Linked DNA regions of Stegostoma tigrinum. The protein of the gene in region 4 interacts with the protein of the main gene of each other region in a pairwise test. Links are inferred from orthologs where the notes say so. Each region holds a gene or a part of one and is shown on either strand. Other genes may lie near its edges. The genes, in order: girdin-like, centromere protein F-like, cep170aa and nuclear distribution protein nudE-like 1.

Evidence for each region.
Region 1: the proteins of nuclear distribution protein nudE-like 1 (region 4) and girdin-like interact in a two-hybrid assay, tested with the Homo sapiens proteins (2 studies listed by BioGRID and IntAct). The link is inferred for Stegostoma tigrinum from reciprocal best matches to the Homo sapiens genes NDEL1 and CCDC88A.
Region 2: the proteins of nuclear distribution protein nudE-like 1 (region 4) and centromere protein F-like interact in binary tests that used the Homo sapiens proteins (3 or more experiments, as listed by UniProt). The link is inferred for Stegostoma tigrinum from reciprocal best matches to the Homo sapiens genes NDEL1 and CENPF.
Region 3: the proteins of nuclear distribution protein nudE-like 1 (region 4) and cep170aa interact in a two-hybrid assay, tested with the Homo sapiens proteins (2 studies listed by BioGRID and IntAct). The link is inferred for Stegostoma tigrinum from reciprocal best matches to the Homo sapiens genes NDEL1 and CEP170.

The regions. Positions count from the first base shown.
Region 1 is NC_081362.1:46,459,250-46,466,674, reverse strand, and holds the start of girdin-like, read right to left. Parts: upstream 3,008-7,425; 5' UTR 2,434-3,007; coding exon 2,374-2,433; intron 2,246-2,373; coding exon 2,145-2,245; intron 1-2,144. UniProt on the Homo sapiens protein: Bifunctional modulator of guanine nucleotide-binding proteins (G proteins). Acts as a non-receptor guanine nucleotide exchange factor which binds to and activates guanine nucleotide-binding protein G(i) alpha subunits.
Region 2 is NC_081362.1:57,085,409-57,092,769, reverse strand, and holds the start of centromere protein F-like, read right to left. Parts: upstream 3,022-7,361; 5' UTR 2,939-3,021; intron 2,936-2,938; exon of another isoform or gene 2,768-2,935; intron 1-2,767. UniProt on the Homo sapiens protein: Required for kinetochore function and chromosome segregation in mitosis. Required for kinetochore localization of dynein, LIS1, NDE1 and NDEL1.
Region 3 is NC_081362.1:83,728,945-83,736,872, forward strand, and holds the start of cep170aa (centrosomal protein of 170 kDa), read right to left. Parts: upstream 3,009-7,928; 5' UTR 2,892-3,008; intron 2,595-2,891; exon of another isoform or gene 2,576-2,594; intron 1-2,575. Other genes in the region: sdccag8 (serologically defined colon cancer antigen 8 homolog), read left to right, coding at 3,620-3,683.
Region 4 is NC_081375.1:37,843,203-37,850,422, reverse strand, and holds the start of nuclear distribution protein nudE-like 1, read left to right. Parts: upstream 1-4,207; 5' UTR 4,208-4,355; intron 4,356-7,220. UniProt on the Homo sapiens protein: Required for organization of the cellular microtubule array and microtubule anchoring at the centrosome. May regulate microtubule organization at least in part by targeting the microtubule severing protein KATNA1 to the centrosome.

The DNA.
Region 1 (7,425 bases), on a different chromosome or scaffold from region 4:
CAGTTAGTCATTCTTTCAAACTATCAATACTTTACAAAATTATGCTACAGAATACAGGTACATGTTTTGACATATCAAGTGTAGTTCTAAGTTACTCATTTAATCTCCATTCCGGATTGATATTCACACTGTTTAGAATTATCGGCATATTGTCCAATCCTTTTTTGTGTACCTCTGCAACCTCCTTTAAATGCATCTATTCCATACATTGCAACCAAGTGTTAACAAGTCCCATGTTTTAACTATTCTCTGTCAGAGCGACAAAGCGTGAAAACAGATCTTTTGGTCAACCTTTGGTGCATGCCAAGCAAATCTCCCAAACTGAACTAGAATCATAGAATCCCTACAGTGTGGAAACAGGCCATTCAGCCCAACAAGTCCACGCTGCCTCTCCGAACAGCATCCCATCCTGACTCATTCTCCTACCCGTGTATTTCCCCATCAAACCCACCTAAACTGCACATCTCTGGACTGTGGAAGGAAACCAGAGGAAACCCACACAGACATGGGAAGAATGTGTAAACTCTACACAGACAGTTGCTCCACGGTGGAATCAAACCCGGGTCCCTGGTGCTGTGAAGCAGTGGTGCAAACCACTGAGCCACCATGCCACCCTAGTCCCACTTGCGTATGTTTGGCAAATCTCTCAACTTTTCCTAATCATGTGCCTATCCAAAAGTCTTGTAAAATGTTGCAAGTGTACCTGCAGCTACCACTTCCTCTGGCAGTTCATTCCACATACAAACCACTCTCAGTGTGAAAACATTGCCCAAGGTCCTGCTAAATTATTCAATAGAATAAATTACTATATTTAGATCAATTCTAATTCATTTTAAAAATAATTCAGAGCCTGTTTCAACTGCCTTAAGAAATTGTACATTCTTAGCAACTTCGATGGTTTTTTTTAAAAAATGATTTAATGTCACTTGCAATCTCCATATGATTTTTTTTAATATATTCAGTCACAGGTTGTGGACATCACTGGCTGGACCAGCATTTTATTGCCCATCACTAATTCACCCACAGGGCAGTCAAGAGCCAACCCACATTGCCATGGGTCTGGAGTCACATGTTGACCAGACCAGCTAAGAGTGGTAGATAATAAAGTGTAGAGCTGGATGAACACAGCAGGCCAAGCAGCAGAAAAGCTGATGTTTTGGGCCTAGACCCTTCTTGAAACGTCAGCTTTTCTGCTCCTAAGATGCTGCTTGGCCTGCTGTGATCATCCAGTTCTACACATCTCAGATTCTCCAGCATCTGCAGTTCCTATTATCTCTCAGCTAAGAATGGTAAGAACGTTAGTGCTGACAGTCGACAACGAATTCATGGCTATCATTAAACTCTTATCTCCACGTACTGAATTCAAATTCCAATATGTGCCATTGTGAAGTTCGAACCCAGGACCAAGATATTACTTGGGTCTCTAGATTAATAACCTAGCTATAAATATCACTAGGTCATCACATCCCCCAATAATACAGCAGGAGTTTAACCTATACAGTTAAGTAGGCACATAAAATAAATGGGAATTTTTAAATGGGGTTAAGCAATCTACCCGTATTTTCTGATGAAATGCGCCAAATTAGTGCATCACAGTCGACTGAAAAAACTTTGAACGTGAAAAAGCTTAAAAATTCCGAAGTCCAACTGCATACTGCAAATAACATCAGTCACACTACAAGTGGATTCAGGAGACCAGAACATGTTTATAATTATAGTATATTGCAAATAAATAAGCCGTAGGCTGGAGAAACGGTTAGTTTCCATTAAAGAAAATCCCAGAATCTTAGCGTTATTATTAATCCTAATTGTGAGTTCGATAAAATGCTCCGGCAGCTTGATCCGATTTTGTTACCTGTATACATACTATTCGAAATCAGAGAGAATACGAATGGGAGGCATGGAAACAGTACAAAAAAAAGAGGCAGAACTAGATCTTGGCCCGTAGGGAATATCTTTCCACTGAAAGGTAATTCACCAATTCTCGACGGAATATCGGTCTCATCGAGAGGATTCAGGGCAATTGGATGTGTAAATCTTTCAAAATCTCACATGCATTTTAAAATACAAAATAAATGCAAAGACGTTTAATTTTTCCCCACAAGACGAGTCTGTAGGTCTACTCTTACAATAAGCATACTTACATTTGAACCATGATGTTACTGAGGAAGATGCCATCAACCAACTCCATGTATTCCAAAAGTGCTCCTCCATTTGCTGGAGCTAACGCCCCGAAAGTCTTCACCTAAAGGGGTGGAGATTAACATTTTTTTAAAAAAATACTCAGTGTAAACGTATTTACTATTTGTAACTGCCACTTTCGATTGCAATTACTGATTTAAGAGATCTGAAAGAAAGTCCAAAAGTGCTTACCCAAGTTACCAAAGGATCAGACATAAACTGCTCAAGGAGCGTTGTAAAATCGGTCTCCATTTTCAAAAAAACCAAAAAAAATCAAAGGTTTATCTTAAACTGTAAAATCCACCGTTGTTGCCAGGAGCCGTATTCCCACTTTCAGCATCCTAAATGGAAGTGAAATCCAATCTCGAAGTATCCATAGTAAATCGAGGTGCTTAGATCTTGATCATTTGCAAAGCGACCAATACGTCACCAAGTTCATTTTCAGCACAAAATTTTGATTTTAATTACAGCGCCTACATCACTTTCGGAAAACCGCCTTCTTCCCGCAGCAGACTCGAATTCCTATGGAAAGCTCTCAGACCACAATCATCTTTCCTCTTGACAAATTAACACAAAACTCAATATTAGAAAAAAAATGAACACTCATTTCCCATCGACGCCGAATAATCGTCTACCTTTTGTTTTAAAGGAAAAGATTAAAGTTAGAGGGAAGATTGCAGTCTGAGGTTTCAGACATAAACGCCAACATTTCCAACGGCATTTCAAATATCACCACACACGTTTCCTCAATATACTGAGTTTTAGCACGAGCCGACTAACGGCTATGGAACATCAGTCAACGAAACCGCATCACCACCCAACACAAAGATCTCTTCACCCATACAACTATCGTTAAATCGAGATATAAAACCGCCACGCCCCGCCCAAAATGTATCGTTCCGCCGTCTTGTTCTGCAGGAGGCTTAGATGGAAAAAAATAAGTTCTCCATTCGTGAGCGTTTTGTAGATTAGGGAAAGATTGAGTGATGTTCGCCATTAATATAAAAGATCATTTGTATTGTACCCATTGATATATAGAAGAATGTTCGAATACTTATTAGTGATAAAAATGTTTTACTTTGTGCTCCATCGATTTAATTCGGTCATATGCTTGCGATTTTCAGAATTTGTATGTTATGCAACTGAGGTTTACTCGGATTTATAGTCATGTGAATGATATTTTTCGAGAAAAGGCTGCATTTAAAAGTTATACAGATCGAATATAATGCGTGCTCCATAAACAAAGAAGGATCAATAGTGACGCCTAACGGTGCGGAAAACGTAACATTACCACGGAAACTTTCCACGCGATAATTATTATGATATTCATATTAATAGACTTTCAAATATTTTATCAATTATAATCAGTTTAGTTGAATTAACTTAAGCACCCAGATTTGTGAAGACGAAGGAAGACATAAAAATAGGGAGAAGGGCAAGTCTTCTTTCCTTTAAAGCGGAAATACTAAACAAAACCGTTGGACAAAGCTTTTGTAATCAAGTTTATTAACCTATTACTCTAGGCGCCATTCCACCTTTCATAAATATGTGCAGATATAAGCGCAGATCTGTTGTAACGCAGCACATCATTAGCAGAAACACGTACCGGTGTGGAATTATAATACAATAAATAACAGTATATCATGTGATTGGAGACGAACCATTCTACACCTTTAAAGATATTGAACCAATTTATAATTATTTGCAACCGACTATCTCAGAAATTTTTCGAGAGCAAGTAAATATTTTCATGCTTCGTAAAGGTTTTAAAAATAATTATTTGCATTATTAAAACGTATTTTGCATAACAAAGAATTCACATGAAATTTACTGCTCAGAAACGGGCCATTCAACTCATTTACTTTACGGAAATGTTCATGTCTCAAGCAAACCTCCTCCTCACTTCAATCATCCCACCCTGTCAACATATATTTCAGTCCCTTTTCCCTCTTGCATTAATTTGGCCTTTAAATGTATCAATACTATTTGCCACAATCAAGCGTACCAAAGCTACAGAGAAATTACAGTACCGAAGGAGCATTTAGACAATCATGTCCTATAGAATAATACAAGGTCTACTTCCCCATGCTATCTCCACAGCCCTTCAGACTCCAGTGTCAATCTAATTTCCTTTCCAAATCATTGATCATCTCTGCTTCCACTATCCTTTTAAGCTCTAGGTCATCATCTCTTTCCCACATCCATACACAATACATGTGCTTTAAGGAAGAAAAATTTACATTCATGCAGTGCCTTTCACACAAATCATCTCAGAATGCTTCATAGGCAATAAATGACTTCACATTGGAATCACTTTTGTGCAGCTGCCAACTTGTACATAGCAAATTCCAAGAAACTGTATTTGGGTGGGAAAGGTATTCAATGTCTGTAGTCTACAGTACTGTTAACACCTCTTGATTTACACGGCATATACATTTATTGTAGTCTCAATGCACTGCCAGGTGACAAGGTTGGCTGAAGGGAAAGATTGGAACATCTTCTCCCATCACCCTCATGGCTGCTAAAGCACAAGTGAATTGCCAACTTGCCGAAAGGGATACTGGGTATAGGGAATGGTGGCAAAGTAAGGCTCTACAAATTGCAAACCCAGAAACCAGACACAATGCAAACACAGCAGCCAGGTACTAATGGCATTATTTTGACCTGAAACATTGACTTTCCTGATGCCCACCTTGAAGAAGATTTCCTCCTCCCTCCGAAGAGAGCTCAGTGAGTCCATCTCCCACTGCAACACTCTGGTTGTCTCCTCTGCCCTGATACTAAACAAAACCATTGGACAAATCTTTTGTAATCAAGTTTATTAACCAGTTCTATTACACGAGGTGCCATTCCACCTTTCATAAATATGTGCAGATATAAGCGCAGATCTGTTGTAACGCAGCACATCATTAGCAGAAACAAGTATGGGAGTGGAATTATAATACAATAAATAACAGTATATCATGTGACTGGAGACAAACCATTCTACGCCTTTTAAGATACACCTTTAAAGTTCTTCATCCACATTCTGAAGCATCCAGCTATCTCCATCTACCTAACCTTCCCACAGTCACACACCGCACCCCCATATATTTCCGGGCTCCCCCCATCCTTCCCAGCCGTATTAACAAAGGATTTCAACCTGAAACTCTAGCTTTCATGTTCCTCAGATGTTGTCTGACCTACTGTGCTTTTCCAGCTCCATATTCATTGACACACATCATCATCAGTTATCCTATGCAGTAAAATCCTCCCAAAATATCAACTAAACAAAGTGGCATGGTGAATCAGTGGTTAGCACTGCAGCCTCACAGTGCCAGGAGCACGGGTTCAATTCCCCCTCGGGCAAATGCCTGTGTGGACTTTGCACATTCTCCCCTTGTCTGCATGGCTTTCCTCCGGGTGCTCCAGTTTCCTCCCACAGTCCAAAGATGTGCCGGCTAGGTTGATTGTCCATAGTGTTCAGGGATGTGTAAATTAGGTGGGTTTGGTGAATGGGCCTGGGTGGGATGCTCTGAGGGTCAGTATAGACTTGATGGGGCAAAGGACCTGTTTCCACATTGCAGGGATTCTATGGAAAGCAGCAATGCATATTTTCAGATAAAAAGACACCTGCTACACAAAGAAACAAATATAAGCAAGCCACCCAAATGATTGACAATGTTTCAAACCATTAAGTAAGTCTCCTTGATTGATCAGAGCTATAGAAAGTTCCAGAAAACTGCCCAATAATGTTTAAAAACAGGTCTTACTTTCAAATCAATTTTAGACCATCTGGAGATGAAGAGGAAGTGACCGGCAAGCAAAGGCAAAAATCAACTGACCATTGGGAGTGACACTGAAAGAGAACAACACTTCGCAAACTAGATTAAAGTTACAAGAGATTCTGGCAAGTATTGTAACAACTAAGAGGATCAGGCAAGAGTAGGAATAGTATTGTTATAGAGTCATAGAGTTGAATAGCACAGAAACAGACCCTTTGGTCCAACTTGTCCATACTGACCAGATATCCTAAACAATCTAGTCCTGTTTGCCAGCATTGGGCCCATATCCCTCCAAACCCTTCCTAGCCATGTACCTATCCAAATGCCTTTTAAATGGTATAATTGTACTAGCCTACACCACTTCCTTTGGCAGCTCATTCCACACATGTACCACCCTCTTTGAGAAAAGGTTGCCCCTCAGGTCCCTTTTTTTATCTTTCCCCTCTCACTTAAGCCTATGCCCTCTAATTTTGGACTTCCCTACTTGGGAAAAAGTCCTTGGCTGTTCACCCTAACCATGCCCCTCATGATTTCATATACCTGTATAAGGTTATTGCCTCAGCGTCCAATGTTTCAGGGAGAATAGCCCCAGCCTATTCAGCCTCTCCCTACAGTGCAAACCTTCCACACCCAGCAAAATCCTTGTAAATCTTCTCTACACCCTTTCAAGTTTAACATTGTTTTTCTTGTAGTAGGGAGACCAGAATTGCACTCAGTATTCCAAAAGTCACCTAACCAATGTCCTGTACAGCAGCAACATGACCTCCCTAACTCCTATATTCAATGCACTGACCAATAAAGGCAAGTGTACCAAATACCTTCTTCACTACCCTGTCTACCTGTTATTTAACCTTCAAAGAACAATGAACCTGCACCCCAAGTTCTCTTTGTTTGGCACTACTCAGCTGAATCCTAACATTCAGTGTATAAATCCTTCCTGATTATCTAAGGTAAAATGCATCACTTCACATTTATCACAATTAAACACCAGCTGCCGGCCCTCAGCCCATCAGCCCATCTGATCAAGATTCCGCTGTACTCTGAGATAACCTTCTTCATTGTCCACTATACTACCAATTTTGGTTTCATCTGCAAATTTACTAACTATTCCTCCTATATTCACATACAAATCATTTTTATAAATAACAAAATTAGTGAATCCAGCACCAATCGTTGCAGCACACCACTGGTCACAGGCATATAGTCCGAAAAACCATCATATACTACCACACTCTTTTTCTGACCTTCAAGTCGATTTTGTATCCAAATGGCTAGTTATTCCTGGATTCTGTGTGATCTATCTTTGCTAACCAGTCTAACATAGATGCCAAGGTGAAGAGCTGGATGCACACATCAGGCCAAGCAGCATCAGAGAAGCAGGAAGGGTGATGGTTCGGGCCGAGACCCTTCTTCAGAAATTGGGGAGGGGAAGGATGTTCTGAAATAAATAGGGACAGAGCCGGAGGCGGATAGAAGATGA
Region 2 (7,361 bases), on a different chromosome or scaffold from region 4:
TCCATGCCACTCAATTTTATTCACTTCATCATATCTCTTCTCAGTCTTCTCTGCTTCAAGGAAAAGAAGCCTCGTCTTTTCTACGGGAATTGTTGCTAGCTCAACACTGACTCATTCCCAACACTACCTCACTTCCTATGCATTTTTTGCATTCTCCTTTTACATCATCCAAGGCACCAAAAACATTGGTGTCCTCTCCAACAAGGACAGGCAAAAATAGACTGTTTCGAAGAAGGGTCACTGAACTCAAAAGTTAATTGTGCGTTCTCACCACAGATGCTGCCAGACCTGACTACCAGCAAGTTGCTTTTGTTTCAGATCTTGAGCAACAGTAATTTTTGTTTTATAGGCTGGGTGAACCTTTGTGGAATACTTACATTCAGTGCTCATAAAAGACTGGGCTTTACATCATTTGAATTCTCTACTCCGGCATTTACGTCCGTGGCTTGCTGCAGTATTGCAATACAAGCTCAAGCAAGAACACTTTTCATTTTGGTAGCATATAACCTCTCGTACCAATCTTTTCAATGCTACAATCAGTTCTGAAGATGGGTCACTGGACCTGAAACATCACCTCTTGCTTTCTGTCCACAGATGTGGCCAGACTTGCAACTTTCCTAGCAATTTCTGATTTCGTTTCCAGGATTACCACCATCTACAGTTACTTTCCCCCCCCCCCCTTCTTCTGTATTAAATAATGAGTACTCAACCTTACATCGTAAGTATTTCTAATCAGTGACACACACATCTAGGAGTTGAGACTTGATGCTGGGTCTTCAAAAATCCAGAAAGACACGAACACTGCACCATAGGAGCCAACTTCTGCCCCTAGCTTGCTCTGAGATAATCTTCTGTTTTATTTTTATAAGTCCGTAAGACTTGGAGCAAAAACTAGGCCATTCAACCAATAGAGTCTGCTCTGCCATTCAATCATGGCAGATAAGTTCCTTGACCCCATTCTGCTGCTTTCTCCCTGTAGCCCTTGATAATCAAGAGCTTATCTATCTCAGTCTTAAATGTACTCAATGACCTGACCTCCACAGCCTTCTGTGGCAGAGAATTCCATAGATTCACCACGCTCTGGCTGAAGAAGTTTCTCCTTATCTCCATTCTAAAAGCCTCCCTTTGTTCTAAGGCTGTGCCCGCAGGTCCTAGACTCTCTCCAATGGGAGCATCTTCCCAACATCCATTTTGTCCAGGCCATTCAGTATTCTGAAAGTTTCAATTAGATTCCCCCTTCATCCTTCTAAACTCCAATCAGTATCATCCCAGAGTCCTCAAACATTCCTCACACGTTAAGGTCCCCAATCCTGGGACCATTCTCAGGAACCTCCTCTGAACCCACTCCAGGGCCAGTACGTACTTCCTGAGATGTGAGGCCCAAAACTTCACACAATACTCCTAAAGTGGCCTGACGAGAGCCTTATAAGGCCTCAGTAGTACATCCCTGCTTTTATATTCAAGTCTTCTTAAAATAAATGCCAACATTGCAATTGCCTTCTTGACTATGACTACTAACCTGCAAGTTTATCTTGAGAGAATTTGCTAGCTTATTTCTCTTTTTATCCTTTCAGTTTGCATTTAGGTAGGCACTATGCAACCTTTCAGGCTTCACCCGCACACATCTGATTCCTTCCTTATCAGAATTCTCTTTTGAAATTTCTATCACAATCAATTTTATTAGTAAGTCTCTCCAGTCTCCCAGACTATTGCAGTCTAATCCTAATGTTCCTGGTACACCAAATTTCTCCATTACTAGTATAAAAATCTTGCATTTCTATTTTCCTCCTAAAAGGTTAACACTTTCTCCGCAGACATTGTTTGACAGGTTGAATACTTCCAGCATTTCAGATTTTATTTCACGATTTACTGGATCCACTGTTAAGTATTTTTCTTTTGTATCAGCCGTTTTAATTGGTTTATACTTTTATCATACATCTCAAATTGTACCCATTGCAAAGACTTACAACTGGGTTCGCCCAGTAATCCTAGGCTCGCTTACTAATGGAGCTGCCTTGCAATAGGTTCGCTTAGTAATGGGACATACTAAATAAGAGCAAAAATCATTTGGTTTCTCCAGCTTGCTCAGTCAGTCTATCGTATCATGTCGATCTACTGTTTTACAAATTCCACGTTCGCATTTAACCCGATAAGGCTCGAGGCCCCCACGACCTAAGAATATCCACGCGGTCTTAACAATATCCAATAACCCACATCCCACCCTATCCAAGGCAGAGTTACAGTCGTACAACCCTCCGGAAATTGGGGGGGGGGGGGGGGCGCCGCGGGGGAAAGAACCCTCATCGCTCTCTTGAAAGGATCACCCCGATTTTAAAACTGTGACCCCTCGTTCTTACGGGAACGACAAGAGGAAATATCCTTTCGACGTCCGCCTAGTCAAGACCATTTAGGATCATGCATACTTCAGCCAAGTCACTCCTTAGTCCAGGGTAAATAAACCCAGTTTGTCCAACTTATCCTCATAAGATAACCCTCCCATTCCAGTCACAGGAATCCTTCTTCGGAACCCCGCCCGACGCATTTACATCCTCCCTTAAGTAAAGGGATCTAAAACTGGGACGTGTCTTTTACATCCTGTAGTCTACACTGGTTCATTCACTAATCTTGCTGTCTTGGAACGGGGTTACACTCTTACTACCCTCGCAACTGAACACTTAACGCTACTTCCAAGTGCTCAGTATTGTTTTGTTTAAACGACTTTGCATACACCGCCTGATCTCTGATTCGGCATATAGCAAGGACTAACTTAAATGGAGCGATCACGAAACGACAGTTGCGATGCGAAAATCCCCGGCTCCCAGTTTTCCGACCGACCTCTAAAAGCGTTAACTAAAGGCAGCAAGCGTTTCACGCCCCTTGCTCGCAAACCGACAATAACACGAAGACATCGCCGAAATGAAAACATCAAACCACACACCAGAACCAGTAGCACTTTCAGCACCAACAGCCCGATTTCAAACTGCTGCGGGCTTACCAACAGCTTCCACGAGCCAACGGCGCAGCGGCCTGGCTATAGAGCTGTCCTATTGGTTAGAAAGCGGGAACACCCCCTTAGCCCCGCCTCTGATAGGCTAACTCTGACGGCGACGAGCCACGGTTACAAGGTATGATTGGTTTTAAATTTAAACACGAGACCCTCTGTCTATTGGCTGACTCTCCGCAGCCGTTGGACTTGTCCCCGTGACCCGGCCTCCTGATTGGTCAGTCAGCCCAGTGCCGGCGGAGAAATGGATTCCTGAGCTAGAACTAAGGGCTTTACCTGCAGCCGAGGTACATTCCAAACTTATGATGTCATTTCCAACTGAAGATGCCGGGAAGAGAAGCATAAATACTTAAGTTCAAGGAATAGAAAGGCTACAGCTTTCATCAAAAGTGGGTATGATGACACGAGAATGGGCCTTTTCAATTTCTTATAAAAACAGAAAGAGCTGGAGAAATTCAACAGTTCTTATCTGACAACATCTATGGATATCGATATAACTGTTCTTCAGATCTGCTGAGTTTCTCCACCATTTTCAGTTTCTTTTTCAGATTTCCAGCAGCCAGCATTTTGTTTTTATCTGGGAATTTTCAATTCTGCCCCATGCATCTGCCTTTGTGTTGGCATCACACATTAGCATCCCGATTTTGCCAAAATGATTGAATCTGGATCAGTGTGTAACAATGATGAAATAAACTTTTTTTTGTTATTGATGAACAGTTTTTGGCCAAGCTGAGCTTTCTTGCTGTCTTAAAAAAAATGCTTTCTGCTCTCCGAATTCTCTACTCGAATTGTTCCAATCTTCCATCAATTATGTAATGTTGAACTTCAGGCAAGGATATAGGATTTATGTTGCTACATGACAAATTTTAGGAACAATTTTACTAATTTGTATTTTATTACCTGGTGGGCAGGAACAAGGATGTGCTTTTTACAGCTGGTTGGAGATGCCTGTCAATTCCATCACTTTGTTGTGGCAAACTGACGTCTTATTCTCAATCAGTGGGGTGTTCAAAACACTTAACCTTTAATAATTCTTAAAACAAGAATCTTTGAATAACATTTTTGGTTGTTCATCAGTGTGTCATTTATCAAAAGATAGATATTGGCAACTGCCAGGATCCAGGGTGCTCAAATATAACCAGTTAAAATGTCGCAGATTATCGACACCAACTAAGATGAATACAGCCTTGGAATGCTGGGTGAGAGTGGGAGACTGACTGCAAAGAATTCCAACAATTAGTGACAGGCCTACCTTCTAGGTGTACCATTAGTAAGATAGCCTGGGATTGTTATTGCCCAGAATACAGCAAACCTGCCTGGCGTGGGTATGGTTATTCATTTTGTGACAGAGGTTTAAATTGGTATCATTCTCTAATCACAAAAGTGTGAGTCAGTAGCTGTTTTGAACAAGATGGAATCTAAAAATCTCTGGATCGCGCAGCTTGCATTCACCAGAAACTGAACTGGGCTATCTACATAAATAATGTGGCTGTAAGAGCAGGTCAGAGGCTAGGAATTAGATGGCAAGCAACTCACCTCCGCCGTTGCTCATCCTACATATCCAATTCACCAATCAGAGATGTAATGGAATATTTTCCACTTACTTGGATAGATGAATTCCAACAACATTCAAGAAGCTTGACATCACTCAGGACAAATTAGCCCACTTTACGAGCATCCCATCTACCACTTCAACATCCTTTCCCTTCACGACTGATGCACAGTCGTACAATGGGTACCATCTAAAATATGCACTCCAGCTAATCACCCAAATAAGGACACACATCTCCTGACTGCCAGTTCTAATCCAAAGAAACAATTTTTTTCATTACTTTCCTTTTTATTTTCATTTATGGGATAGAAGCTTCACTGGCCAGGCCAGTATTGCTTATGAGTAAATTGTAGTGTGCTTCCATCTTGAACCTTTGCAAAGCATGTGAGTGGGTACACCCACAGTGCAAGATGGCCCAACAACAATGAAGAAATTATGATATGCTTCCATTGCAGAATGATGTGTGGCTTAGAAGAGAATTTGCAGTTAGCATTGTTGTCACATTTTTGATGTTGTTGTAGCTCTAAGTGGTAGAGATCACAGGTTTCAAAGATGCTTTTGAAAAGATCTTAGGTGACTAAGCTACAAGATGCAGAGATTTTTAGATTCCATCCTATTCAAAATGTTCATTGACTCAGACTTTTGTGATGCAAATGGTACTTGGATGTTGTCCATGTCTTGTCGCATTTGAAAATGTTCTGCTTCACTATCTGACGTATGGTATCGAACATAGGGCAACCATCAGCAAATATCTGACTGAATTTTTGATGGGGGTAAGGTGGCTGATGAAGCAGTGGACAATCTTGGGGCCTAAAATAATACCTTTATATTGTTTTGGGACTGAGATAATGGACCTCCGATAAATACAACCATATTCCTTTGTGCTAGGTCTGACTCACTCCAGCATGTATTTTTTTTTCATTTGATTTGCTTTTGACTTCAGTTTTGCAAGGGCTCCTTGAAGTCATACCCGGTCAAATGCTGCCTTGATGATAAGGGTAGTCATTCTCACCTCAACCCTAGAGTTCAGCTCTTTTGTCAATGTTTGGACATCAATCCTGGTCCATCCACATCGATGCTACAGACAAGAAAGCACATCAATGCCTGTACTTCCTAGAAGAGTAAGGAAACTCAGTATAACCACAATGACTCTTCAATTTTTATAGGTGCACCATAGAAAGTATCCAATCCGAGGCATCACAGCTTGGTGTGGCAACTGCTCTGCCTGAGACCACTAGAAATTACAAAGATGTGAACACAATCCAGTCAATCACAAAAAACAGCCTTCCTTTGACTGACACTTCCTGCTCAGGAAAGCAACCAGCATACCACCCCAGTTATACTCTCTCCCATGGGGCAGAAGACTCACAAGTTTGAAAACACATACCAACAGATTCAAGAACAGCTTCCCCACTTTTATCAGATTTATGAATGGATCTGTTATATATTAGAGTTGACCTTTCTCTCCACCTTCTCTGTAGCTGTAACGCTACATTCTGCATTCTGTTCTACAACCCTATGTACTTATGTAAGATACAGTTTGTCCGGTTAGCACTCAAAACAGTACTTTTCACCGTACTTCAGTACATGTGACAATTATAAATCAAATCAAATCAAGGCTGTGATGATGTCAGCTGTTGGTTAAACCCAAACTGAGCATCAACTGGCAGGCTGTTCCTTTAAAAAGTGCTGCTACTTGATTGCACTATCAATGACCACTTACATTGCTTTGCTGATGATCGAGAATCATCTCAGACACAGAATGATGGAGAAACTTAGCTGTTCTGGCAGTATCTGAGTAGAAGTGAAACAAAGTTACCATACCATATGGTATGACTTCTTCAGAACATCTAAAGACTTTTCTTTTGAAAAACATTCATACCAGACTTGAAACATTAACTCTGTTTCCCTGGCCATAGATAATGCTACATCTGCTGAGTTTCTCCAGTATTCTCTGATTGTTTCAGGTTTCCAGCATCCGCACGATTTTATTTCTATTCTAGTAACATAGCTGTAATTGACTAGGTTACATTTATACAGCTTTTTGTAGAAAGAACATACCAGGACAATTTTCCACATTGCCAAATAAATAAGTGGTTGTATCTGGAGGGGAACAGCTTGGCTGTGGGTGGGGCTACTTCTGGAATACAAATTGTCAGTCCCAATATAATCGAAGCCTATAGCCTTTGCATTGCCTTTAAACTCTTTTTTGATATCTTGTGGGATGAATTAAATTGTCTGAAGACAGGCACTTGTAGGACTGGGGACCTCAGGAGGGTAGATCATCATTGAGATTGGACTGTTTGTGGAGCCTCCTATTCCTCTTCATTGTTTCATTGTTCACGATCATTCATGCCAGGATGTAGCAGAACTGCAGGGCTTAGATCTGATCGGTTGGTTTTGGGACTGCTTATCTCTGTCTATTGCATGGTCCTCTGCAGTTTGGCATGTGATGTGGCTTCACCAGGCTACCACCTCATTTTTAGGTATATCTGATGTTACAGAGAAGTGGAAAGCCAGACTCCTCTGATAAATAGAAACACAACCCCCAATCTGTTGTGGCGGGGCATAGAGGTTCACTTCTAATAATTAAACCCGAAACACACAAAGTCTCTCGCCTCACCTTTATAATTTATTGAAAGAATGGTTAAATGAAAGAAAATCCCTGATATACACTTTATTAGTAACAACTTATTTAACACTAACAGTGAACAAATTAACAGACTTACTAATAAACCAAACAATTCCACCCCAGACTACTAACTACTCCCTAACTGGCCTAAATTCTACTGGAATACTTTTCAA
Region 3 (7,928 bases), on a different chromosome or scaffold from region 4:
GTCCAATCCTGTGCTCTTTGTAAGTTTCAGTTTATCCAAACTTCCGTCCCTCTTAAACCTAAACAACTCGAACCCAGTCAAAAAACATCTTGCAATTTTTTTCCCCTTTATTCATTCATGGGACAAGGGCGCTGCTGGTTAGGCAGCACCCCTAATTCCCAGAGGGCAGTTTAACAGTGAACCACATTGCCATGGGTCTGAAGTCATATGCAGGCCAGACTAGGTAAGGATGGCATTTTCCTTCCCTGTAGGACGTTAGTGAACCAAATGGGTTTTTCCAACAATCAACAATGGATGCATGGTCATCATTAGACTCTTAATTCCAGATAATTCTTTTTATTGAATTCAAATTCCACCATGGCTGGATTCGAACCCAGGTCCCCAGAACATTATCTGGACCTCTGGATTAACAGTTTAATCAATAATACCACTATCGGAGTCAATCAAGTATTTCTGAAGTACAGTCATATTGTAAAGGTTGAAAACCCATCAACCAATTCACATACAAGCTCCCACAAACATGATAATGGCTGAAGAAGTTGTTTTGGTTACGAACAGATAAACACTGGCTGGAAAGCATCAGGGATAACTCCTCTTCTCTGAAAAGATGTCATGGGATCTTTTATATCCACCTGAACAAGCAGATGCACTAATGTTTAAATGTCACTCCTGAAAGACAGTCAACCAAGGACTGCTGGTGCAAAGGTTACAGTAAATTGTCTTGTTTCTCATTCTTTCCACTGATTCTAGCCATTCTGTGTAGCACTTTCCTGTTTTCTTTCATTTTCAAATTAAAAATTGAAACATATTGGAAAATCATGCTTATAAAAAGGGGAATAGAAGAAACAGTTTTCAGTTTAACTAAGAATCTGTTAAAAGTATTAAAAGTACAAAAAGCAAAAAAAGATTGAGCTAGAAAGAAGGATAATTATCACAAATAATGAACACAGCCGGCCAAGCAGCTGCTTGGCCGGCTGTGTTCATCCAGCTCCACACGGTTATCTCGGATTCCCCAGCATCTGCAGTTCCCATTATCTCTGATAATTATCATAAACTTTAGTCTACAATGCAAAAGTTCAGTTAATAGGGGTCAAAATTTCAAGATTGCCAGCAAGAGAGCTAGGACTGAAGCAAGGAAAAACTTCTTTATTCAGTTATTAGAATTTGGAATGTGCTACTTGGAGAGAGTGGTGGAGGCGGATTCCATAGGTTACAAAAGGAGGCTAGGCAAGTATCTAACTGATAAAATCACATTTCAATCAATGGTACGATTAATTTGGGAACATCTTTAAGTTACAGATAAAAACAGAATGAAGTATTTTAATTTAGAATTTACTAGTTCTGCTAGACTTCCAGATTCACAAAATTCAAACTGGACAAATTTTTACTTAAGACTCAGTTGATTGTCCTCAACTGATTAGTCTATTACAGTTCAGGCTATTTGTGGTCCTGTACAGCTTTTTGATACATATACAGATGAGACCATATAGTTTTCAGTTTCCATGGTCTGTCTTACTTATGCTGCAGAAAGAAATCTAATAATGTTCCAAGTTAAGATTTATCACAAAAAAAACAACACTGAAAAGTTCCAGCACGGCAACTTCCATTTTATGATTAGTAAAATAAAGGTTTCCTTCTTGCTCCGTCCTTTGAAAGGGCCACAAAATAACGCATTGTTTCACTGTCAAAAATACTAAAATACACGTCTTACAGAAACGAATGGGACTCAACCTACTTGAAAAGTCTGTCGATATAAAGCACAGAGGAAAGGAACACATTGCTGAAATGAAAGCCGAAAAGGAAACACTCCAGCCAGTTTCATGTGACCCTATTCCCTTAGCGGGAATGTACAGGAACAGGAAACATTTCCTGTGAAACGTTTCTGAAGAATTTTATAAATGAATTTACTGGGCTTCTAATGCAGGAAGGCCAATAATGTAATACAATCTAATCATTACGTTTCAAAACGAGAAGTGATGGCTAGTCTGTTCCACAAGATTTGCAATGCCCTCACTACACTGGCAGTGTGCCAGAAATTTGCTAATAGTCCCTATCCAGCTATGCTACTTTTGCATTACTGGATTTTGTGTAACAATCAGAGCGGAATTGGTTAAATCATTAAGACGCGTCGGCTTCACCGAAAACAAGGGAATTTCTACGGGTATTGAATATCTCGAACGATCGACAAAAAAAAAGATGCAGACCTTCGGATGAAATTCCGTGGTGTACCCCAAAGCTTCCTTTGTTCGAGGTAACAAAAAGAAACATGAAAAAATGCATCGACATGATCGTTCACCGGTTGGGTACTACTCATTCGGATCCACTGACATGTTAATTAGAAAGCGTTTCACTTAAAAGAAATCTTGATTAAAATCCATTAAATTAAGGGGAGGAGTGAAATGCAAAAGAACATTAAATCTCGGCATGCCGTTTAGACTAAATTCGGAAGATAGTATGAATAGTTTACAGTAAGGAACGAGGAGCACAGTTGGGAGGGGAGGAGGAGGAAAGGGGATATTAGTAAAGGGTGAAAGAGGAGCCAAATGAATAAAAGAAAATGGATAGCCATTTGAACCTCCAAACGCCTTCTCGTTTTCAGCTGCCACTCGTTTCAAATGAAAAACGGTGGGAATGTCGACAATCCAAAATAATAGCTTGAAAGAAGTAGCCCATGAAAAAGTCCACGGACCGCGACCTGTCAGGTGGCGATTGCGGGATGGTCACTTCTACGAGACGCCCCTCCCCCACCCAGCAGCATTTTATACACAATCCCTTGAACCGTTATTCCATTTCAACTTCAAAATACTAAAATCGATCCTCCCCTCCTCCAAGGCGGGAGCGCATAAACCGGTAGCCTTTATCACCTCAGCATTTCCGTATAGCATACTCACCCTAGCAGGGCAACTGCCCTGCCGAAGCTCAGACAAACATCAGCAACCCGCCCGTTGCTCAGCAATAACGTTATTCCACATAGCGGCCGCTCGAGCAGAATAGACGGGTAGGCGCTGGGTGGGGGGGGGAAGAGATTGTTTGAAGCATGCGCAGAGCACCACATGCCATAGCCACTGTCCAAAAGCCTGAGGCTCCATCTCGGCGAAGCCAACACCCCCTCATGATTGACGGAGTTCTTGACCAATCGCAACCGCAAGCATGCCGTCACCGCGCCAACCGCGGCTGTCGGGGGCTTTCACAGGGTGGGATCGAAAGTGTAGATCTCTGGAATGAAAGGAAGGGCGGGAAGAAATAAAGGCAGGTACCCGGATTCTCCCGCAAGCGTTTCTGGGAATTGTATTTCCTTTGGCCTTCGGCACCTATCCTGTCGACCGTCCAATGCTCCGTTCCTGCCGACAGCATTGACTCTCAAGTAGAAATACAAACCCCAGCATTCGCTGCGGAGACTCCTCCTTCGCTGAACCTGATGTCTCTATGGTGAAAGGAAGCCCAAAGTTTAATTTGAATTCGGTGCTGATTGGTTCAGGGGCAGCGTCCTTTCAGCGGCGCTGGAGTTTAACCAAAGCCGTGCGGAGCGTTTCCAATTATCAACCTTTCTGTTTTGCTGTCAACGTTGTTTTTTTTAATCGAGAGGTACTTCTAACCTTTCGCTGTATGATCGGACAACATGAAGGCCTCCTGCGAGTCGAACATCGAGAACGATTTAGAGACGTATCTGAAAGGTTTAAGAGGTAAGCGAACGACCGAATCGAAGGGGCAGGCTTGTTTATAGGAGACAGCTGTCAGTTAAAGGCACGGATAAGCAAGGCCGAGGTTGGTCTCCAAGGCTTGTTGTAACATCTGTATTTGTTGATAAGTTGTACCTTCGAAAAAACAGCTCCTGTGTACTCACATTGCATCAAATTGTTAACTGTGTAGAGATGAAAGTTTGGTGAATTTTCTGGAACTGCTGAAATTACATGTTGTTTGGGGGGCAAACGCCCCATGGACTCCGATGAGAAATATACTGGCATGTGGATTTTGAAGAGTGCTTAAATTAAAAGCACTGCAGTTATGAGGAACAACTGTTTTGCCCTCCTTTCTGTCTACAAAATACGAATATTAAAAAAAAACAAAGACTCGTGATTGTAGGAACTGCCGCTGCTGGAGTCTGATATAACAAAAGCGTGGAGTTGGAGGAACACAGCAGGCCAGGCAGCATCAGAGGAGCAGGAAAGCTGACGTTTCGGGTTGGGACCCTTTTTTCTGAAAATCTTTCTATACTGATTTGTGAATCACGTTCAGTACTCCTGAGATTCGCCATGCAACGATAACAGATTGTCATTTGCAGTGAAACGTTTGTCGACTTGATTTCATTTGAGCCATTGGGCGAATCTACAGTGGTAATGGAGTTACGAAAATAAAGATATACATTTTGAAAATGTATGAACTTAAAACAGTTTATATTAATGTGATACCGGAACGAGCTGATCATCACACGACTTTGCTAGCTCAGGAATGTCCTGTCCAGAATGCAATCCCACTCTCACTTACAACTCCCATTTTGATTTTGCCATTGTTGATGGCCTCTCCTGTCCCTCATTGCTCAGCCTCAACTCCTTCTATTTGCTTTTTCAATTCCAATTATTTACGTATCTGCTCCTGGGGCGGAAAAGAAACATGCACCCTATGTTGCTCACAACTACATTTTCTCCATTCCAGTTGTCTCGCCCTTGGCTTCCCATTCACTATAATGCTTACATATCCACAATTTCTTTAACCGCAGCTCAGTATTCATGCTGATACCTGAGTAAAACCATTGGTATTCCATAACTTAGTTCATCTCCCAATGTGGACTAATACCTGTTTCCTAAGGGTGAAAGGTAAATACAGTGCAGACATGGATCATGCAGTCTACTATGTTTGTGTAATTCATTCTGTTCTTGTACAGTTTTTTTGGTATACATCCAATTTTCTTCTGAAAGTTACAATTGAATCTGCATTTGTTCTGCTTTCATGTTTAATTATAAGCTATAAAATGGAGGAGCAGAATTCGGCCATTCAGCCCACTAGTTCTTATCTGCCATTCAGTCATGACTGAGATGTTCCTCAACACCATTCTCCTGTCTTCTCCCATAACCTTTGATCTCCACATCAATCAAGAACCAATCTATCTTTGTCTTAAATACTCTGTATAACTTGACCTGCTGCAGCAATAACTTCCACAGATTAGCCACCCTTTGGCTGAAGAAATTCCTCCTCGTCTCAGTTCATTCCAGGTTATAGCAGATTACATCTCAACCATGAATGGCAGAGCAGACTTGATGAGCTGAATGGCCTAGTTCTGGTCCCATGTCATATGACTTATAGTTAAACATGAAGGCAGAATAAAAAGATTCAATTGTAATTTTCAGAAGGAAATTAGACGTATACCAAAAAAAATTGTTCATCTGCTTTATGGTCCTTCATGCATAACACAACAGGTTTTCTCATCCAAACCTAGACCACTAAAACCATAAGATGTAGGCGCAAAGGTTAGCCTTTCAATCCATCGATCATGCTTTATTATTTGGTGGGAAAAGTAGCTGATTTGATAGTCTTCAGTTCTACTTGCTTGCCTTGTCCCCAAAAGTATTGATTATGAATTACTAATTATGATCTATTTCTTGCCTTGAACATACGTAACAAGCTACGGCTGTCTATGGTACAAATAAAGTCAGAAGTCAGAATATTAGGTTATAGTCCAACGGGTTTACTTGAAATCTCCAAGTTTTCAAAGAATTGTTCCTTTGTCAGGTGAAGAGACTTAATTTCAAATAAACATGTTGGACTATAACCTGGTGTCATGTGACTTCTGACTTTGTCCATCCAGTCCAACACCAGCACCTCCTCATCATAGCAAACCAGTGAATTAGCTTTTTAAAAAAAAAATCTGAAAGAAGAAATTTCTCCTTGGCTTTGTTTTAAATGGATACTCCCTTACCATGGGATTATGCCCTCTGGTCCTAGGCTCTCCCACAAGGAGCAACAACTTCACAGCATCTATGCTGTCAAGCCCCCTATGTTTCAATCAAGTCCAGTGTCATTCTTCTAACATCCAGTGAATGCAGACCTGGACCACATCAGGTGTTATTGCATCTCCTCTGCCCTTAGTTCTATTACTGCCCTTCTATCTTCAAAAACTCCTGGCCCTGCTCCCACCATCTTTTCTCCAAATACACATGTGGAGAACTAACTCAGCTGCCACCTCCTGGCTGTACCTTTTCAACTAGCCCTCTATCACTGTTCTGCATTGCTAGACTGCTCAGTGCTGTCCAGCCTTGGTGAATTGCATTTTTTTATTGTTAAAATTTGGTGCTGTGAAAAAGTAACAGTAGTAAGCCGTTCAACTCCTCAATGTTTTCTGCTAATCACCTCAACTCCATTTACCCACCTTGTTACCCACGGAATACCCCGAGGCCCAATTCAGTCGTAGTCAGTGACTTTAATGAGGCCAACATTGCAGGTGCTACCAAAATACCATCAACCTGTTTTCTGCCCCACCAGGGGGCCAAATATCCGTGACCATTGCGACACAGCCATCAAAAGTGCTTACTGCTCTATACCCTGTCTGCACTTTGGAAAATCAGATCGCAACACTGTGTCCTACCTCCTGGCTTTTAAGCAGAAGTTGAAACATAAGGACCCAGTACAGAAAATAGCACAGTGTTGGTCCGATGCAACGGAAGAGCTTCTGTGGGACTGCTTGGAATTGGTGGCCTGGCCCATATTCAAGAACTCAGCAGCCATGCCCCCAGGAGAGTATGCTGCTACTGTCATGGACTTCATTAGCAAGGGTGTAGAGGACTGTATGCCAAAGAAGTTAATCCATATATTCCCCAACCAGAAACCATGGGTGAACCAGGAACTCCATTGCCTAATAAAGACCAAGTATGTAATGTTCAAGTCAGACGGCCCTGATCTTCACAGGAAATCCAGATTTGACCTCTGTAAGGCCACTGGAGATGCCAAGAACTAATACTAGACTATGTTGGAGAGCAAAACTAACCACATGGGTACCTGTAGTTTCTGGTAAGGCCTACGTGACATAACAGAATAATGGACAAAATACATTTCTCCCTGATGTGCTCAATACATTTTAGGCTCAGTTGAAACAGAGCCTCAGCAAAACGGTGTCACCTAATCCAACAGCCTCAGCTGCACCTGTTTCATCAGTTATGCTGCAGATTTCACATTGGCCTTTTGGAGAGTGAACCCACAGAAAATGACTGGCCCAGATGGAGTAGTCCACGCACTCAGATCCTGTGCAGTCCAGCTGCCTAGAGTGTTCACTGACATCTTTCATCTCTCCTTACTACAATCTGAAGTCCCCACTTGTATCAAGAAGATCACTATCATTCCAGCACCAAAAAAGACTCATTTAACATGCCTAAATGACTACCACGTGGTGGCTCTGACCTCCATAATTACAAAGCACTTCAAGAGGTTAGTCATGGCTCATGTCAGCTCCAGCCTCTCAGCCTGCCTTGACCCATTGCGATTCACCTACAGTCTCAACAGATGGTACACAGCATCTCCATGGCCCTGCATTCATCCTTGGAATATTTAGATAACAAGGATACCTATGTCAGGCTTCTACTTATTGTCTACAATTCTCCTTCAACACTATAATTCTAACCAAATTAATCTCAACCCTGAGACCTTGGTCTCTGCTCCACCCTCTGCAACAGTATCCTGAACTCCTGACCCACAGTGTGTAATCAGTGAGGATAGATAACAGCGCCACCTCCATGACAATCCTCAACACCAGCGCCCAACAAGACTGTGTGCTCAGCCCCTTACTGTACTCCCTGTACACTCATGAATGTGTCACCAAATTTACTCTTATCTCCATCTACATGTTTGCTGAAGACGCCACCATTGTAGACTAGATCTCAAACAATGATGAGACAGAATACAGGAAAGAGAGAGAGTGCTTGGTGGTGTAGTATAAAGAG
Region 4 (7,220 bases):
CACACTGACCCTCAGAGCATCCCACCCAGAACTATCCCCCTACTCTACACATCCCTGAACACTATGGGCGATTTAGCATGGCCAATCCACCTAGTCTGCGCATCTTTTGACTGTGGGAGGAAACCAGAGCCGGCACATGCACACTGGGGTAGAACATGTAAACTCCACACAGACAGTTGCCCAAGGGTGGAATTGAACCCCAGCTCTTGATGCTGTGAAGCAGCAGTGCTAACCACTGAGCCAACAGGCCACCTGGAAATGTGGGCTTGAACCTGAGACCTCTCGCATGTCAACAAAATACAATACTCTAAGCAAAAATCATAAACATAGACCAATGAGCCACCTCCAATGCAGTGGAATATTTCATAACTAAATTACTTATTATGTCCTGAAAAAAATTGAACCAAAGTTTGAAACTTTGATTAAACTGTATTCCTTTAATTAGCCTCTAATGAGTTTTGAAACAGTTGATTTTTCTGTTATTCCCCTAGAAGTAAACATTCTAAAAGAAATAGCTCCTAGGAGTTGAATTATCACATGCATATCTATAAGGAAATACTGGTCCCCCATGTTTGGTTTTGGTAATAGTCCTGCACGGTCTTCTAACATTCTATTGGTTCTTCAAAAACTTGCCTGGGTATTAAAGGTACTGATCTGATTACATATTGAAGTCTTATTGAAGTCTTCCTACAACCTAATTTTCATATGCTTTACAGAACGGTACTATGTCTTCACAACATCATGACCAAGTAAAGTAACTGTCGTCAAAGCTTGAGTTTTCCGTGTGCCTACATGCATTGCCATAGGAATTTTATGAGCTACTCGCAATATTTCCTTACTAAATCTGGGTGGTGTCACTATTTGATGTTCAACCATCCATCCTTGTCAGCAGGTCTGTGAGGATGTTTCCATTTACTCATCAGAACTACATTTTTAACAAAAGTAACTTTGAAACTCCTTTATCCTCAGCTTCAGAGTATGCTAATTGAGTTAAATTAGTTTAACTGTGCCTACCTCCAGATCTGCTATCTGAGCCTGACATACTAAACACTTTTTGAATTGCCTCTTTCTTTAAAGAATGTTTTGGCTACTCTAACATTTGCTTGTGACCAGACGAATCACCAGTTCGTCTGGTGATGAACTTTGTTCAACCATTGTTCTGGTCATCAAGTTCAATGGAAAAATACCTGGAGCTTCTACCTGTAACTGCTCTGTCAATTAGACTTTCTGTGATTATAGGCAAAACTATAACTTTCACTTAAGTCAAATAATTACCCAGTAAATGAACTCCATCCAGAGGTAATTTTAGAACAATTCCCATGACTACTGCACCGAGCAATAAGTTACATTCTAAGTGCACACTGAACAAAGGAATGCGCATGTACTTTCCACTGATCCTGTCTATTAAGATGAAAGGTCTAGGCCCGAAACGTCAGCTTTTGTGCTCCTGAGATGCTGCTTGGCCTGCTGTGTTCATCCAGCCTCACATTTTGTTGTCTTGGATTCTCCAGCATCTGCAGTTCCCATTATCTCTGTCTATTAAACATTTGGCTTTCTATGCATTCTTTGGGATGGAGCTATGTTCTTGTCTGGAAAAAAAGTGTTTGTACAGCTCCTGTGTCCTGTAATATAGTTACGACCTTAGATGTACTGTTTGAAGAAAACTAGGTGATCTTTCCTTTTAACAAAAAAATCCTTCTTAACTCTCACCTATCTTAATCACTTCTCCAGCACTCAAAGCATTCTCCTAGTTATAGTTAAAGCTATGCTTTGATTTAAGTGTTTTCCTTCTGAGTTCCTCTGTCAGACTCACTCTTATGAATCCTAATGTCCTGTGGACTTCCCATGCAACTTGCAGCATTCTGAGCAAAGGTGTTCCACTTTGTTACAATGGGAATACTTATGCCAACAACTCTCATTTCAGCACCTTCGGTTCCAGTTCGTGAAAGAATTCACGAGGGAATTCCCAGATGTCCCTTCTTTAGCCTAGTTACTTGCCTTCCTTTCATTGTCCCACTTTCTACCATTTGGGGTTTTATAAAGATGACAAAAAAAAGGTTTGGTTTCATTGATCAACTTGTAATTATCAGCCATTTCTGCCGTCTGTCTCATTGCTCCATGCATACTATAAAACAATAGTATTGGAAGCAACTAAAACCATTCTGCAGATAGATGGTGCAACCTTGACTGATTTAACAAGTCTTAACCTAAGGCAACAGCATTAGTTGTTGCAAACAAACTAAAAGTGGAATTTCCAGTAAAAGCTTAGGAGACATAATTAACATATTGATACTGCATTTAGCACAGGTAGAAATACAAGAAGTACTGGGTACATCAAGTGATGAGTCACTCGGTTTAGTGAGAATTCAATTGCAGCTGAGACAGCTTGTACATGAAAAAGGACTAAAACAAGTTGAAAGGAAAATGGGACTGTCAATATTTAAAAACTAGACCAACAAAGAGATGTTGAAATTTTCTTGAAAGCAGGTTCTAATGACTAAAGGTGGTAAGTTTTGAGCTCTTCTAAGAAAATAATTTCTCTGGGAGCTTCATGGATGGTATTCACTCCTAATGCTTGTATCCACTTGTCAAAATTATTTTACATTGCCTTTTCAAATCCAGTGTAAGTTTCCACAGGCTGTTTCCTTAAATTTTTAAACTTATGTCTGCAGCTTCAGGAACTAACACATATACACCCAGAATAACATTTTTTAACTACTTCATAATCAAAACTTCTGACAATGATGCATAAATCTCATGAGCTGTACCTGCCAACCTGCTCAGTATGGGCAGTGTCCAGTTTTACTTCAACCATGACATTTATTTTGCTACTATGTCACATGATATGAAGAATGACTCATCATTTTCTTCAAATCTCAGCAGGTCTGGCAGCATCTGTGAAGGAGAAAACAGAGTTAATGTTTTGGGTCCGTTGAACATTAACTCTGATTTTTTTCTTCACAGATGCTGCCAAACTTCCTCAGCTTTTCCAGCAACTTCTGATTTTTGCTCCTGATTTACAGCATCTGCAGTCTCTTGGTTTTTGTCTTCTACCCATTAACTCCATCTGGACTTCCTGCTGCCTCAGAATGGAAGCCAACATCATCAAAGACCCCTCCCAACCCAGTCATAACCTCTTCCAACCTCTTCTGTCAGGCAGAAGACTCAGAAGCTTAAACACACATACCAATAGATTCAAGAACAGCATCTTCCCTACTGTTATTAGACTTCTGAATGGACCTCTCAAATTTCAAATCTGACCTTGATCTTGTTTTTCGTGCACTGTCTTTGCAGCTGTAACCTTGTTTACCTCTCTCTGTTCAAACACCCTGTGATTCTTTGTATGTTATGATCTGCCTGTACTGCATGTGAAACACTGTACCTAGGTACTAAAAACAATAATAAATCAAACCAAATCAAATCAATTCAGACCTAGAAACAACTAGCAGGTGTTTTCCTGATCTTCTTGCCCTTTCTGTGCTGCAGATGGTCAATCATAAGGGGTAGGCATGTCAAATGAAAACAAAAGTTATGGGCAATTCCTTTGACTACTGGACAGAACACAACATAATTCTGAAATATGTCTTTATAAAACAATCTATAATCATTGTAAGAAATAATGGAGGCATTAAATATAGAAAGACTTACTTGTAGGACATAAAAAGAAATCAGCAGGAAGGAAGGGTGACTTTAGGAACTGTTAAGATGGATCAGTCCTATCGGATTGAATTACCAGTTTGTACCATGTACAGGAATGTAAAGGAAGTAGAAATTGATTCCAAGTTTATGGGTAAACAGCTTTTGAAAGAGGACTGTTCCAAAGTTGGTTATCATCTAAGTAGTGGCAATATGACTGAAAGGAAATCTAGATAATTATGAGAAATATTACAACTAGGAATTCAAACTTCACTTGATCGACTGCACAGATATTTACTAACACAGTGACACCTGGCAATATGGATGAAGGCTACAGTCCTGAACCCACATTCTTTTTTGGCACAGAAAGTAATTGTCTGGAACCATGCACGTCACAAAATGTGGTTACACAGTAACTGGAATGTTCAGTCAGATGCTGCAAAGAATGTTGTTCATTAGGTGGGAAAAACCTGCTTAACAACAAGTAACTGAGACTTGCTTTATAGGAGTAGGCGATGGCTCCAAATTTGAGAAAGTATGTTTTTTTTATGTTTGCATTCAAGTTCTTACTCAAGATTATAAAGATAAAAGAATTACCATTTGAGCAGGTAAAATGCCATTGGAACACCACTGAGGATAACAGACGAGAAATGTGATTGCGCCTGACCAATGGACAGGGATCAACAAGGACAACCTGGGACACTGACAAAGGGCCAAAGGTAAGTCTGGGCTAGGGGATGGTGAATGCAAGTTGTGAAAGGTAGTGTTTCTGCAGCTTCAGTGTGCTGCTGTATTCTATCCTCACTGCACATTAACATAGAATTTATTTGAGATGTTGTTTTCTGGGAGCAAATGCCAGCACACGTTTTCTGGGAATGAAAATGGAGTTTGCTGTAAAATGAGTACTAGCCAATTCAGTATCTGCCTATTTTGAACATTCCCTGCACCTTTAAGAATTTAAACAGAACAATGGGAGCTCAATCTTGTAATTTGTATTTTAAAGTGTTACTTTGACGCATGATATGCATGCAGTTCCCCACCCATTACATTGTAGCTTTTGAGGATGTCTTCAACATGTCTTATTTGCAAAATGACAACATAGTTTTTTGCAACAGTTCTTCCTTTGTCGAGCTTGAGAAGCTACAATATGTGGGCAGGTATAGAAGGAAAGTTACTTGTAATATGTTTATTGACAGTTTTTATTGATTATTAACCTGGCACCTTCATATTTCTGGTACCTCTCTGTGAGGAAAACATCAAAACACAATGCTCCATATTAATTCTTTTTCAACGCTTTGCTCACCTAAATAATATCTTGCGCTTTGGGTTTTTTCGTAATTCCACTTGACTTTGAAACTGGCAGCTGGCCTCACTTGGGTGCCCAACCAATTTAGCTGTTCAATTAAACTTCTCAGTTTCTCCATTTCAACTTTAAAGCCACTGTATCTTTCTGTGAGGCCCTACTTTGAAAAATGGCAATGCAGCTAACATTTTACAAATAAGATTACTGATGCAAAATGACATTTGATCCATTCTGCCTGATTTCCAATCCAACGTATTTAAAATCCCCAGATTCCTGAACTGCAATTTTGAATTCTGTTTTAAGACATTTATGATAATATTTTTGATAATTTATTGAAATAATTGAACCTTTACGATGATATTTCTCACTACTCTTCATCTCATAAAAAAGACTGTGCCGGGAAGTTGCTCGTCATGATGACAGTAAAACATGGCAGCATCTTTTGTTTTATTTGCTCGTAGAATGTGGCCATTGCTGGCTACTCTGCATTTTTTGCCCATCTCAAGTTGCCTTTGAGAAAGTGTTGGTCATCTGCCTTCTTGGATTGCTGCAGTCCACATGCTGTAAATAGACACATGATGCCATCAGGGAGGGAATTCCAGAATTTTGACACAGCAACACAGAAGGAGAGGCGATATATTTCTTAGTCAGGATGATGAGTGGCTTCAAGGAGAACTTGCAGATAGTGGTATTCCAATGCACCTGGTGTGGTCATGGGCTTGAAAGGTGCTGCCTAAGGATCTTTGGTCAATTTCAACAGTGCAACTTGTAGATAGTACACACTGCTGCTACAGAGCAAATTGTCTCTATTCGTGACAGTCATTGCCCGGCATTTGTGTGGTGCAAATGCTACTTGCCACTTGTCAGCACAAGCCTGGATATTGTCAGAACTTGTTGCATTTGAAGATGGACTGCTTCAGTATCTGAGGAGTTGCAAACAGTGCTGAACATTGTGCAATCATCAGCGAACATCCCTAGTTCTGAACTTTTGACAAAGGAAAGGTCATTGGTGGCACAGTGGCTCAGTGGTTAGCACTGATGCCTCACAGCACCAGGGATGCAGGTTTGATTCCAGCCTTGTGCAACCAGCTGTGTGGAGTTGGCACATTCTCCTGTGTCAGTGTGGGCTTCCTCCAGATGCTCTGGTTTCCTCTCACGGTTCAAAGATATGCAGGTTAGGTGGATTGGCCATGCTAAATTGTCCATATTGTCTAGGGTAGGAAATGCAGGGATGGGATAGGGAATGAGCCTGGGTGGGATGTTCTTTGGAGGATTGGTGTGGACTTGATGGGCTGAATGGCTTGCTTCCACACTTTAGGGATTCTATGCTTCCATGAGGCAGCTTAAGTTGTTTGAACCTAGGACACCACTCTGAGGAACTCTTGCAGAGATGTCCTGGAGTTGAGATGACTAGCAATCACAACCATCTTCTTGTGAGCTGGGCATGACTCGAATACACAAAGTTTGCTCTCAATACCCACAGATTCCAGTTTTGTTAGGGCTCCTAGGTCATCCACTTGATACTTTTGGCTGAAGATTGCTGTGAATGTTTTAACCTTATATCTTTTGTCCTTATGTGCTGGGCACTTTCATCATTGAAAATTGAGCTATTTTAGAGCCTCCTCCTCCATTCGTGACTAGATGTGGCAGGACTGCAGAGCTTAGAACTGATCTGTTGGTTGTGGGATTGCTTAGCTCTGTTTATCACTCGCTGCTTATGCAGTTTGGCATACATGTAATCCTGTATGGTGCCTTCATTAAGTTGACACCTCATTTTTAAGTATCACTGGTGTTGCTCCTGGCATGCCCTCCTGCACTCTCCATTGTACAGGATTGATCCCCTGGTTTGATGGTAATGGTTGAAAGGGGGTATGCCTGACCATGAAATTACAGATTGTGCTGGACTATAATTCTGCTGCTGTTGATGGCTCTCGGTAGTTCATGGATGCCCAGTCTTGGGTCGCTAGATCTGTTCAAAGTCTGTCCCATGTAGCACGGTGACAATGTGATTAACATGATATTCTCAACATGAAGGTAGGATAGTATCTTGTCTCCTCAAGGACTGTGCGGTGGTCACTCTGACTGATACTGCCATGGACAGAAGCATCTTCAGCTGGCAGATTAGTAAGGATGAGGTCAAGTATATTTTTCCTTCTTCTTGGTTCCCATACCACCTGCCACACACCCACTGTAGCAGCTGTGTACTTTAAGACTCAACCAGTTGTGCAGCTGCCAAGCCACTCTTGGTGGTGGGCATTGAAATCCCCCACCCAGAGTACTT